Neurospora crassa OR74A: one gene and its partners. The protein of the gene in region 3 purifies or fractionates together with the protein of the main gene of each other region. This does not show direct contact. Links are inferred from orthologs where the notes say so. Each region holds a gene or a part of one and is shown on either strand. Other genes may lie near its edges.

Region 1 (3,646 bases), on a different chromosome or scaffold from region 3:
CCAAGCTGATATCGTCCAAAGCCCGGGTTTTGGACGTTTCCCCTAAAAGTTCCGATTCCAATCACAAGACGACAATCTCGTATCAGATAAAGTACTATACCTCAAGGTAGGTATCGTCAAGATAACCATTTAGTGTGTCCGTATCAACACCGATAGTCAAAACTACAAGGGACGCCAAATCGTTAGATAGGTCGAACACATCCAGCGATTACATGCTTGGGAGGGTTTATTTTATCGTTTAGATACGACTCAGATGAGGTGGCATGTTCAAGGCGCATTTTCACCTGCGTAAGCGCTCCAATAAGATGGTACATGTTGTAGATGTCCCCGCGCTTCCTTCCTTTTTGTCACATGTCTCTGTTCAAGCTTTCCTCTCTTCCCCGCCCCAGACAGACCGCAATCCGGGGTAAAGGCCCAATGGTCGCCGCGGGGTTAGGGCGTGTAGATCTACCCCTGACTGTCACTGGATCCTGTTTTTGTTGCATTGGTCAACGGTTCACAGCCCTGACAGCTTCTTCCTCCCTCTGTGGTCGGAGTACGACACTGGTTGGTCCTCAGTTCCCCTTCTGCTTCCCCTAACTGAAGCAAAGAAAGTCCGAGGATTTTCACTTGCTGTCTGGCCAGGCGCGACCTGAGCTTCCCCTTTGGTGCTAACCTCCCCATAGAAGATACACTACTGTGCTTTTGGGTCTGGATGGCTGTCGGACTTCATGTGAACCTGATAGGCTTGACGGCCCGCTGGTATACGTTATCTACACTACACTAGACACTACACTAGAAAAAGATAACACAAAGTCCACATGACCATTTGCAGGGCTGAGAAAAAAAATGAAAGTTTGAGCGTATCAAAGTGACTAGCAAGACCGCCAGTTTTTCAAAGTAAATCCTTCAATGAAATCACAGTCTCTAGGCCACATGACAGTTGATGCGGTGAGGATGTCGTTAGGCCCGATGCCTGGTGGACAAAAGAAGCAGGATTCCAGAAGAAGTCCGGACAGAGTGGCATGGATACCAAGTTAGGGGAGAGTATGGGGATCAGGGGAAACAGCAAGCGGGAAGAAGGAGATCCCGAATCGATAGCGGAATGCGGACGGGCGGGCAAGGCGGGGAAGCGGGACGGAGGAGAATGGATGGAGCCGGATTCTACATTGACGGGGACCATCGAAATTTCGTGATGCACCTTCCGCCCTGCCGACGATGTCGCTGGTGACTGAATGCCATGCCCTCACGCTGCTGGCATCGACTCAGCTGTCACCTGTGACCACCGCAGAGGTTGCTGGGGAACGGGTGCGGCCGGGATGGAATTCGACTGCTGTCGGGTTCCTGCCGATCATAGCCGAATCCACAGTCACTAGCATGCACCAATCACATAGCGAGCGCATACCTCCCCGCATCTTGGCGATAGCTGGACAAGCCAAATGCCTGCCGCAAAGTCTTATCAGCTGCTTATCTCCAATTGTCAACTCTCGGAAGCTTGGTCCACCAGTTTTTTCTGCCGGGCGGACAAGATTTCGTTTCAATCGGCTTGAACTCCATCCACCATCATCTCCAGCCCAGCCTGCAGCAGCATCTCGTCGCCTCTAGGAAACCGATCCCAGTACTTCGTCTTTTTACACAGCGTATACCCAATTTGCGTTTTGGCCCTACTACAACACAACGAAACAGTCGAAACAATCGAGTTGAGTGGAAACACCACCAAAAAAAAACCAGTCAAGATGGCGTCGCAAAATATGCCGTTCATTAAGAACCTCGCCTCGAGCGGTACGTTTGCATCCCACTTTCCAGTACATACACTGCCATGTGATCGAAGTACAAGCTACATCACCACTTGGGATACTTGCCTACCTTGTATCTCTTGACAATACTACCACTTCTACATCCAATCACGTTCTATCTAAACTCAAAATGTATACCCAATTCCCCATTCGATAAGCCCTCCATCACTGACATTTTCTCCCTTTTCGATAGACAGCAAAATCCGCAAGTCAGCCCTCGCTTCCCTGCACACCTTCCTCTCTGCCAAGCACATTGCCACCACGCTCTCGCCCATCGACATTCTCAAGCTGTGGAAGGGTCTCTTCTACGCCATGTGGATGTGCGACCGCGCCATCCCCCAGCAGACCCTTGCCCAGGAGCTCGCCGATCTCATCTACATCCTCCCTCGGGAGTCCGTCGTCCCCTGGCTCAGGGGTTTCTGGGCGACCATGTCGCGCGAGTGGACGTCGATCGACGTGCTGCGCATGGAAAAGTTCTTGTTGCTGGTCAGACGGGTGGTGGGTGCTTCCTTTAGGTGGATGAAGGGCGCGCAGGATGGGAAAGCGGATGTCAGTGCTGCTACTGCTACCAAATCCAACAAAAAGGGTGGGAAGAAGGGAAGCGGAAAGGAGAAGAGCGCGTGGGACGCCAAAAGAGTCGATCAGGTTCTCGACATACTTGCCGAGTGGCCGTTTGCGCTGGACGAGGACGTCAAGGAGGATAGCGATTCCGAAGAAGAAGAAGAACCCGAAGCCGACGAGGACGACGAAGATGCCAAGCCCCAACACGAATCTCTCAGGAAAGAGAAACCCAAGAAGAAGGAAAACAAGGACCCGCTTCACCTCCTCGCCAAGAAGATACCCTCGGGACTCAAGATCCACGTGCTGGATATCTGGGTGGACGAGGCCGAGAAGGTTGGCATGCTGGACTTTGAGAGCGACGAGGAGGCGCTCAAGATTGTGCAGCGGATCATCGAGAAGATCGAGGAGCTGGAGCAGCGCACGGTCAGCCCCGCGATAAGAGTGAGGTCCAAGGACTCATTGTCGGATGACAGGCTACCGGGGAATGACAAGAAGCCTGTGGAGAAGGAAGATGAGGGATGGGGCGGGTTTGATAACTGATTTCGTTTTGTAAAAATGGTTTTTGCTGAGATATCATGGCTGCTGGCGTAATAGAGTTGCTTTGTTTGATTTCGTTCCCTTGAAATACATTGCATTGTTGACCAATGTCTTGAATCGTGAACCTCCTCATGACTTTCAATATATCACAATGTTACCCAGGAGACTCCTAGTTTATAAGTAGTAGTTTGAAAAGTAACTGATATACATCAACCTTGGTTTAATTGTTACTGAAACACCATTCCACCAAATTTCATGCAAGGTATCTGATTGGTGTCAACGAGATGCGTTTTAGGTACTCTCTATACTCGTATCTAATTCTTTCGTCTATCTTCACAAAATAAGCCTAATGTGTGGCTCCACAGAGCTCGTCCCGGACACCCGGCGAATCACTTCCGGAAACTCATCTACGATGCGCAATCTTGCCGGCAAGCCGCGTATAAGCCTGCTCAACCTCATCGGGAATATCCACATGGACGATGGAGCCATTGCCCTTGGGACCATAGCCGTATTCGTCATCTCTCAATCGCGGAATCTCGCCCATGACCAGCTGCAAGAAACGGTCCATCTTCCACATCAATGCTTCGTTGACCGGCGGTGATTCGTATGCCAGCTGCCCGCTAGTGCCGCCACCGCTGCGCTTTACGCGAGGAACAAAGATCGGACAGCCGAGGATTGTCGGGGGCTGCGCCATGTCCATGTAGACACGGTCGAAGCATGCCACCGTCCGTCGAACCATGGTCGGATCTTGAATGACCACAATGGTGCGCGGC
Region 2 (3,554 bases), on a different chromosome or scaffold from region 3:
ACATCCCGCTCGACATGTATCCAACTACCCCCTCATTTCGACTAAACCTCATGGCTAACGAAGTCTACGCCTAGACTTAACAGGAAGGTGACTATCCCAAGCATGGCCCCCCTCATCAAGTTCTGAATATCTCCATGTTGCATTGAGGTTGGATGGGGTTGAAGAAGGAGGGGGAGGTGGGTAAGATGTTGAGTTCTGCTGCGAACTATGGGCTGGGCGTTTGAAGAGAGAGGAGTTGGGGAAGAAAAAGCAAGACCTCGGTCGCTGTCTAGGTACTTGTATAGGCAAACGTCTAGAACACCATGAAAGACAATTGGCTGGCCACTACAGTACACCTATGTATGTCGAACGGCTTCCCATTCTGCGCAGTGTTCTTCCGGGCTCTGATGGGCATTGGCCGGCATGTAGCAGGGTGATGATGACCGAGGCACTTGAAATGAACATGTCAACAGTTAGGTCGCATACTACCGAATGTCTTTGGAAGTACAAGGCTGACATTTGAAGGCGGGTTGGATTTGAATAAAAAAGAAATGAAATTTCAGGCATGACCCGCGTGCCTGCGTCGAATGGATAGTGGCGGGGGCCATGGAGGGTGTTTTGGGGATGGGATGAGACGGGAATCAAGTTGCCCTACCGGAAAACTTGCAAAGTGCGTAGCTAGTTATTTAGCAATGATTACAAGTCTGTTCATATCTCCAATGGGTAATGATCATGGTGACAATGGTGAGGTGGTGACTGGCGCGGCCGCTGGCGCCTCACCAGTTGCGAGCAGAACAAGAAGCCGCGGCTATGATGGCCGTGAAAGTTAGGGTCCAATTCCGAGGAAATAGTCGTTAGGTAAGTTGCCATCATCACCCTTGGGAGAAGGATTGTTGATGAACGAACTGGTGACGGCAATAAAGGCAAGCAAGATACAAGAGGATTAGAAACGGAACCTGAGGAAGCGGTATTTATGTACGTGCTTACATACAATACACCACTTACACTACCTAGGTACACACTTACGCAGTAGGGACTGTATCTTTATTACGGCCCTCTTGCCAGCTGGCGACTGGACTGAGGGAACGTACCCAAGCTTGCCAAGTAACGAACAACCTGTAAGGTCGATAAGGGACAACAGCCCCACTATAATTCTCTTATCGGACAGGAGCCATTGCAGTTCCAGTTCAATCGAGTTCTCTGGGGTGGTTTCCCCCGAAATTTTGGTCAACTTCCGCCTTCGTTGTTGTTGTCGCCGTCATCGTTCTTTGCTGGTTTACTCCCATTTCGCCTTCTTCTTCCCAGCATCTTTTGGCAGTCGAACTCCTGTCCTTTCAGCAACACCACATAGTACCTACTTCCCGAAAACCACAGCAACAATGGGCAGAGAACTTCAGAAGCGCAAGAAGCGCTCGTCTCGCGCCAAGGTCCAGACGCATACCATCAAGAAGAAGGTCTTGAACCCCCAGGGCAGCGGCATCGTTGCCAAGGCCTGGTAAGTACCTTTCTCTTCTTTTTGTTGCCAGATATTCGAGAGGAGATTCAGTACTGACATGCAAAAATTGATGTACTACAGGAACAAGAAGGAGACCCTCTCACAAAACTACTCCCGCTTCGGTCTCGTCGCCAAGCTCGGCACCGCCGCCGGCGGCATGGCCAAGAAGTCCGCCGCCGCCAACTACGCCGGCATCACCAAGGATGATCCTTTGGCCGTCAAGTCGGCCGATCGCGGCCTGTTCGAGGTCCGCGAGGTCAAGGTCGAGCGTGACGCCTCGGGCAAGATCGTCAAGGTCCTGCGCTCGGACAACCCGCTCAACGACCCGCTCAACGAGATCGAGTCCGACTCCGAATCCGAGGAACCCAAGCCCAAGAACCCAACCCATGATATCGAATGGCACGGCATCAGCGACGACCGCCAGGAGATGATTGCCCAGAGCAGCCGGCCCGAGGTGGTCCGGATGCTCGAGGAGGAGGCGTCGCGCCCTGTGGAGAAGACGGTGCGCTACCAGAGCGAGCGCGAGCTAGAATGGCTGCAGCGACTAGTGGCTAAGCACGGCGACGATGTAGCTGCCATGGTGCGCGACATCAAGTTAAACCCGATGCAGCAGACCAAGGGCGACATTACCAAGCGGTTGAGGAAGGCTGGCTTGTTGCAGTAAAGAAGCGGACGAAGAAACGAGGGAGGGGAAGAAGGGGGCAAATTGCATGCGCGAGTGTGATGTGAACTTCATCATCACTGGAATGTGACTGCTTCTTGCAAGGGGATGTTCTTGGGATCACCGGTGAGCTCGGTTTGTGGTCTGAAGATAAGGGTAGAGATGAGGGAGCCTGGCGACAAATGCCCGGACCCATGTCCAGTCTCGTCCTGTAAGCTGGGCTACGAGAGTCGGCGGGAGGGAGAAAGAGCGACCCAACACGGCTGATCCTTCAGCCGAGATGGCTCTGCTCGACAGGTCTCGAAAGAAGAGAGCAACGGATTTTGTCTTTCTCTCTTTGTCTCTCTTTCTCTCTCAGACTGGTATAATGCCAGTTAGACTCTCCCCGCTGTCGCCTCATCATACTTCGCTTCAGGGGGCGACCCTCTCGTGGAATGGGGAACTGGCAAAGAAACAGGTGACGGAGCTACTTCGGCTCGCGCTCCCTTGCTCAACGGTAATGAGCAAAAGCAAAACGGATGATGGGACGGGAACCAGGATTTCTTGTGCAGCATACATACTATTCATTAAGGCCACGGGCGTTTTAGGCGTTTCTCAAAGTACATGAAAAGAATTAGGGCCATTGAGCCATCCACATATATCGTATCATATCTTGTTTGTCACCTAGAATCATGTTCTACGTAGATCTCCACAAATATGGGAGAGTTTAATAAGAATGACACAGATACAAAGCATTCCATGAAGCCGATATGAGAGCTTTGTGATTCATTGTTGATGCACGAAGATATCTCTCTCGTTTCTATGCATGATAAACCAACAAGGACCTGTGACGCCTCGCCAACGACACCCCATAAAACAAAGCCTACACACATACATACACAAGAAAAAGCCCAAAATGTTTCGTCTAGTGCCAGCCAGCCCCCAATAACAAAAAAAAAGAAAGCAGGTAGCCAAGACACTTTGTACATGACCTAAGCATGCTGCAGCGTATAGCTACCCGGTATTGCATCCGCTTCCAGATCCAAAGTCGATCAGTCCAGCTCATCCATATCCCTTGACTTGAATTCTCGACCCTTCTGTTTTTTTTAATCCCATTCTTACACATTCCCCCGTTCGATTCCTACTCGGCCGTAGGGCGCAGTGGGAAACCTTGCCGATGGCTCATCCTCGTAGTCCCCATCATGCACACTAGGCGGCGCGTACCTGCTGCCGCCGCCGACGGAGGATTGATAATCGTTATCGTTGTCAAACGGGTTATCCTGTCTGAACGGGTTCTCGGACGGCGCCACCGAGCTAGCGCCGTACCGACTGGTTTGGCTTCCCAGGTAGCTCGGCGTCACGCCGCGGTTGTATGGATCAGCAGATAAATCGGTCGAGGGCGTGGCGCCGCGGTATGGGTCGGGCGTGCGGGCCGTATTC
Region 3 (4,087 bases):
AGATTGACGTTTCAAAAGAAACCAATATTCCCGAACGATATTTCCACTCATGACTAAGTCTAGTAGTTTAGTCCACGCATCTTTTGCCACAAGCTGCATGTCTCTCAACGGTCAGGGCATCGCGGAATAAAGCTGCGTGGTTTAAATTATTTCCACCCATCACATACCAAGCCGTTTCCAGAAGAAGAAGCAGGATTCTCGAGTGAGACATTATACGTAGCCGCCGTGGATTACCATGTCGTTGTGTGTGGACTTGGACTCGTGGTAGGTATTATACGCATTCTATAGCCCCCCATTCTATGCATATGGACATGTCAGGTCAACAAAGTGTTGACGAATGCTGGGTCCCACGAGTCCCTGGAACGGACAACCACATCATCGTGCATGATGAAACACTGCATCACCGCTGCTTGCTGGCAACCGCCGCGATCGCAACCAACCCTGGCACTCGAGGCAGCATCGGGTGTGGTACATGCCGTACTGTGTTTTTGCATGATGGTTTTTTTGTAAACATTGATGATGGGGAATTGTCTCAAGAGGCATCTCGCTTGGCGTCTGGATTTGCATTCGTAAAAGGAGGTGATGATCCCGTCATAGAGCATAGGGGACGAGCTTGGAGTTTCAGTTGGTCTTCTTCACTGGATGACAGGTGAACCAAGAACTACCAGTACAACCCTAACCCTTGGCAGAAAACCGTGCCTTGCCCCAAATCCCAAAGACATTGGTCCCGCGTTCTGGACTTATATGTCACATGTTAACTGAACCTCGAAGAGTATCTATACTTCGTGATTATTCTGAACGGCCATGGCCATGTCAACTGGAAGCTTTTTTTCATTCCAGATGGCATTTCCAAAACTCGAAGCAATCTCGCAATCCAGGCCGAGCCACAACCACGGTCATCTTCACACATATCCATATCCTCACGCAAAAACGCCAGTCATAGGAACCATTCATTGGAAGAAAAATCGCCTTGTTTGCTCACGCTTGAGCATGCATGTCAGAAACGACCCATTGTCGTTGGTATACCTGACAAGAATCCCGCCTCCTACACATCCATCTCTCGCCTCCGCTCCCTCCTGCCTCACACATTGCCTTCCTTTCTCCTTGCCTACCAAGCACAGATAACACCAACTCCAAAACAAGCCCACAAAAGAAAAACCATTGGATTTAGTAGAAAGACTCGACCATGGTATCCTTGAGGCTGGAGTTGATCTGGCCAGGCGCGGCACCCTCTCCTAACCTGAACACGCTCTCGATAACACTCAGCTCGGGCGCCGTAGTATCAAGACCAGTGACGGCCATCCAGTCGTTGACCACCATGCCACCGCCGATGACGTTGGAACCTCTGTTGACGGAGCCGGCCACCAGCGGTACCTGGAGCAGGGAGCTGAGCTCGTCCTGGTCCTGGATGGATGTCTTGGGGTGAACGAGGCCGCCCTGGTTGCTGAGCGCCATGTAGCTACCGACGAGCACGTTGTCGGCAATGGTCTGGCGGAACACCTCGACGCCGAGCACGTCGGCAATGATCTCTTCGGTCTCGCGCTCCAGATCCGGGTGGATCAGCGCCGTGTGGTCGTTGCACACAATCACGTTGCCCAGGGCCGACAGGCGCTCCTCGATACGTTGTATGCGCACGTCGTCGGGGAGACTGTTGCGCAGATGTTGCAGTTCCTGGTCGCTTGTGGTAGTGGGGACGAGGAGACCTTTGCGGTTACTGTAATTTTTTTTTTTACTCGTGGTTAGCTTACCAATGTCCCATAATCAGGTTCTCGGTTGCGCCCCCTCCGATACTTGGGACTAAAAGTTCAATCAAAAATGCAGAGGGAAGAAGCGCCTACCCAGCTGTCAAGCGACCGATGATTCTTGTGCCGGCAATGGTGGTTCTGCAGATAGGGATAACATCTTGGAGTTCGGCCTCGAAGACGCTGTAAAAGTTTTCGCTGGCACCGACGGCGACCAAAGCGTAAGAGTTTGTAAGTGTGGAAAAGACTCCAACCCTATTGAGAAAGCAGACAATGTTAGCGCGTCTGCTACTTGATATCCCGAAGAACTACCCTCCGCCCCCCATTCAGATTCAAGAGTCGCCTTGCTGTCGCGGTGTCGAAGCATGGTATTGATGTCGTCGTCGGTGGCAGGCGGGGCAGATCTTCGATTTTCGCATCGCGATTCCCCATCTCGGAACGTGGAGGCCAAGCAAAACTTACTCGTTGGAGTTCTCGAACTGGGCGCGGACAGCCATGGCTTCGGTTCTTCTTGTGTAGTGCTCCTAGTGGGCTTCCTTTACTTGGTGGGTGAAGTGGTATTCCGATAGAGACGGAGAGATTGAGTTTATGCGACTGAAGCAATGGAGATTGGAGGTATAGAATGCCGTTTTGCTGCTTCGCGAATGACGACTGGTGGGGTGGGCGATGGAAGGAAAATATAATCTGGATTCAGACTCCAGGCTATGTGTAAAGTGGGGCGCTATCAAATCTGGAATCTGGACTGAGGAAGAACCACACAGCTTTTGGAAGCGGGTACCAAGACCCTTACAGATGTATGTACCAGTACTTGCCTTCAACAACAAGACATGGACGCATACATGCGGCTTACCAACCCAACCTCTCTACTCAAACCCTTCCATTTTTGCCATCGAGAAGTATGAGTTTGTCGAAATTCTAGTGCACTTGCATCGATACAATTTCATTTTCAATCACCGGTGACTCAGACACTTTGGAGCAATCCTCGTAAGGCTACGCGAGCAGTGCCTAGCCACCCTCGGGATGGCAAAAGGCTTGCCACACAGCCCACTATGTTACAGCGACATGGAAGCTATCCTCTACGTCTACCCGACCCCATTACCGCCTCCTAAAGCTTGTTTGCCCAATCAGATTTGCAGTGGCTTTCCCATTTGGTAGTGTACACTACCGCCATTTTCATTATGATTCATCATTGTTGCGATATGCAAGGTACCCAAAGAGGCTCACTTGCGGGGCGTAGTAGAATAGACTGGGGCTTGTTTCAACAGTTCAACTTCTGCAAAATGTAATGAAGTTGCTGTTGCAGTGTACTGTGTAGAAGATCACAGGATCCTGGTGGTATAGACATAGATGCCAGAAGCCGACATACCGGACAATTCATTTTGGCTTATCTTTTTTTGTTGAACTCGTCCGCTCGGCTCATGATGAACCCTAACCCACGGATTCACAACCTCTCCTCGTCAGCCCATGTAGCGACAGGACAACAATGAGAACAACCAAAGTGTGGCTAAGGGAGCCCGGTTGTCATTTTGGGTTATGAGCTTAGCAGAGGGAACGTATGGCTGGGGGAACATCTGGTTCAGTTGACGAGAAAGCGCACTTTGCCATAATGCCGTGAGGTACCTCCATATAACCCGCTGATACCAATTCCCATGACCGTTGAAAGCCATCATCCAAGTATCATCGCCTTTAAACAAGATGCATTTATACCAAAACTCCAAACTCCCCTGCCCCCGGCTGACCGTCAAGCACTAGTCTCGTGAGACCAGTAGTCTATTTAAGACGACGCGAACATTTATTTTGCCAACCCCGTTTTGCCGGATGATGCATGCCTTGCAAGAACTGATCACCTTCTTTGACTCAGTCTCATTGCAGTGTTTGGGCTGGAAATAGCTGCGGACCAGCAAAGCCTTTCGCTATAACCCCCTGGATATCAATATTTTTAAGAGGGTCAGGATGTGGACTCCACATCTTGAGCAGGATGTACCGCGCGCTCACCGGCGGGTCGAACTTGATGGTACACTTGTTCTTGTCCTTCTCAATGTAGAATTGGGCCAGCGGAGACATAAGCGCTCCGCCAACGGCTCGTACCGCCTCCTGCGTGGCCACCTGCGAGGCTTCTCGCGCTCGTTCAAGTTCGGGGGTTCCCGTGTCGTATTCGTTACGCCAACTAGCAGAGTGTCGCGCACGAGTGAGATCAGTCCAGTCCAAACCGCTGGGGTTCCATGGGTCTCTTCCGTCATCACTACTGTCGCTTTCAAAAGGCAAAGCACCAATCCTGTTGGGGGTTCGCCTACGCCGCAAATGATTTTCGTCTCCTTCGCTTTCGTCATCACTGCATTCGGTCG

What was found. The genes of interacting proteins can lie anywhere in the genome.
Region 1: the proteins of NCU09004 (region 3) and NCU07942 purify together in Saccharomyces cerevisiae (affinity purification with mass spectrometry; 3 studies listed by BioGRID). This does not show direct contact. The link is inferred for Neurospora crassa OR74A from reciprocal best matches to the Saccharomyces cerevisiae genes TIF6 and RRP1.
Region 2: the proteins of NCU09004 (region 3) and NCU09528 purify together in Saccharomyces cerevisiae (affinity purification with mass spectrometry, with the first as the bait; 3 studies listed by BioGRID). This does not show direct contact. The link is inferred for Neurospora crassa OR74A from reciprocal best matches to the Saccharomyces cerevisiae genes TIF6 and NOP16.

What each region holds. Positions count from the first base shown.
Region 1 is NC_026504.1:1,277,248-1,280,893, reverse strand, and holds NCU07942 (hypothetical protein), read left to right. Parts: upstream 1-1,505; 5' UTR 1,506-1,715; coding exon 1,716-1,761; intron 1,762-1,968; coding exon 1,969-2,876; 3' UTR 2,877-2,976; downstream 2,977-3,646. Other genes in the region: NCU07943 (DUF218 domain-containing protein), read right to left, coding at 3,277-3,646. UniProt on the Saccharomyces cerevisiae protein: Required for 27S rRNA processing to 25S and 5.8S.
Region 2 is NC_026505.1:4,474,355-4,477,908, reverse strand, and holds NCU09528 (nucleolar protein 16), read left to right. Parts: upstream 1-1,189; 5' UTR 1,190-1,358; coding exon 1,359-1,474; intron 1,475-1,555; coding exon 1,556-2,138; 3' UTR 2,139-2,884; downstream 2,885-3,554. Other genes in the region: NCU09527 (hypothetical protein), read right to left, coding at 3,233-3,554. UniProt on the Saccharomyces cerevisiae protein: Involved in the biogenesis of the 60S ribosomal subunit.
Region 3 is NC_026503.1:4,190,561-4,194,647, forward strand, and holds NCU09004 (eukaryotic translation initiation factor 6), read right to left. Parts: upstream 2,640-4,087; 5' UTR 2,240-2,639; coding exon 2,205-2,239; intron 1,998-2,204; coding exon 1,839-1,997; intron 1,715-1,838; coding exon 1,168-1,714; 3' UTR 681-1,167; downstream 1-680. Other genes in the region: NCU09005 (hypothetical protein), read right to left, coding at 3,606-4,087. UniProt on the Saccharomyces cerevisiae protein: Binds to the 60S ribosomal subunit and prevents its association with the 40S ribosomal subunit to form the 80S initiation complex in the cytoplasm. Is also involved in ribosome biogenesis.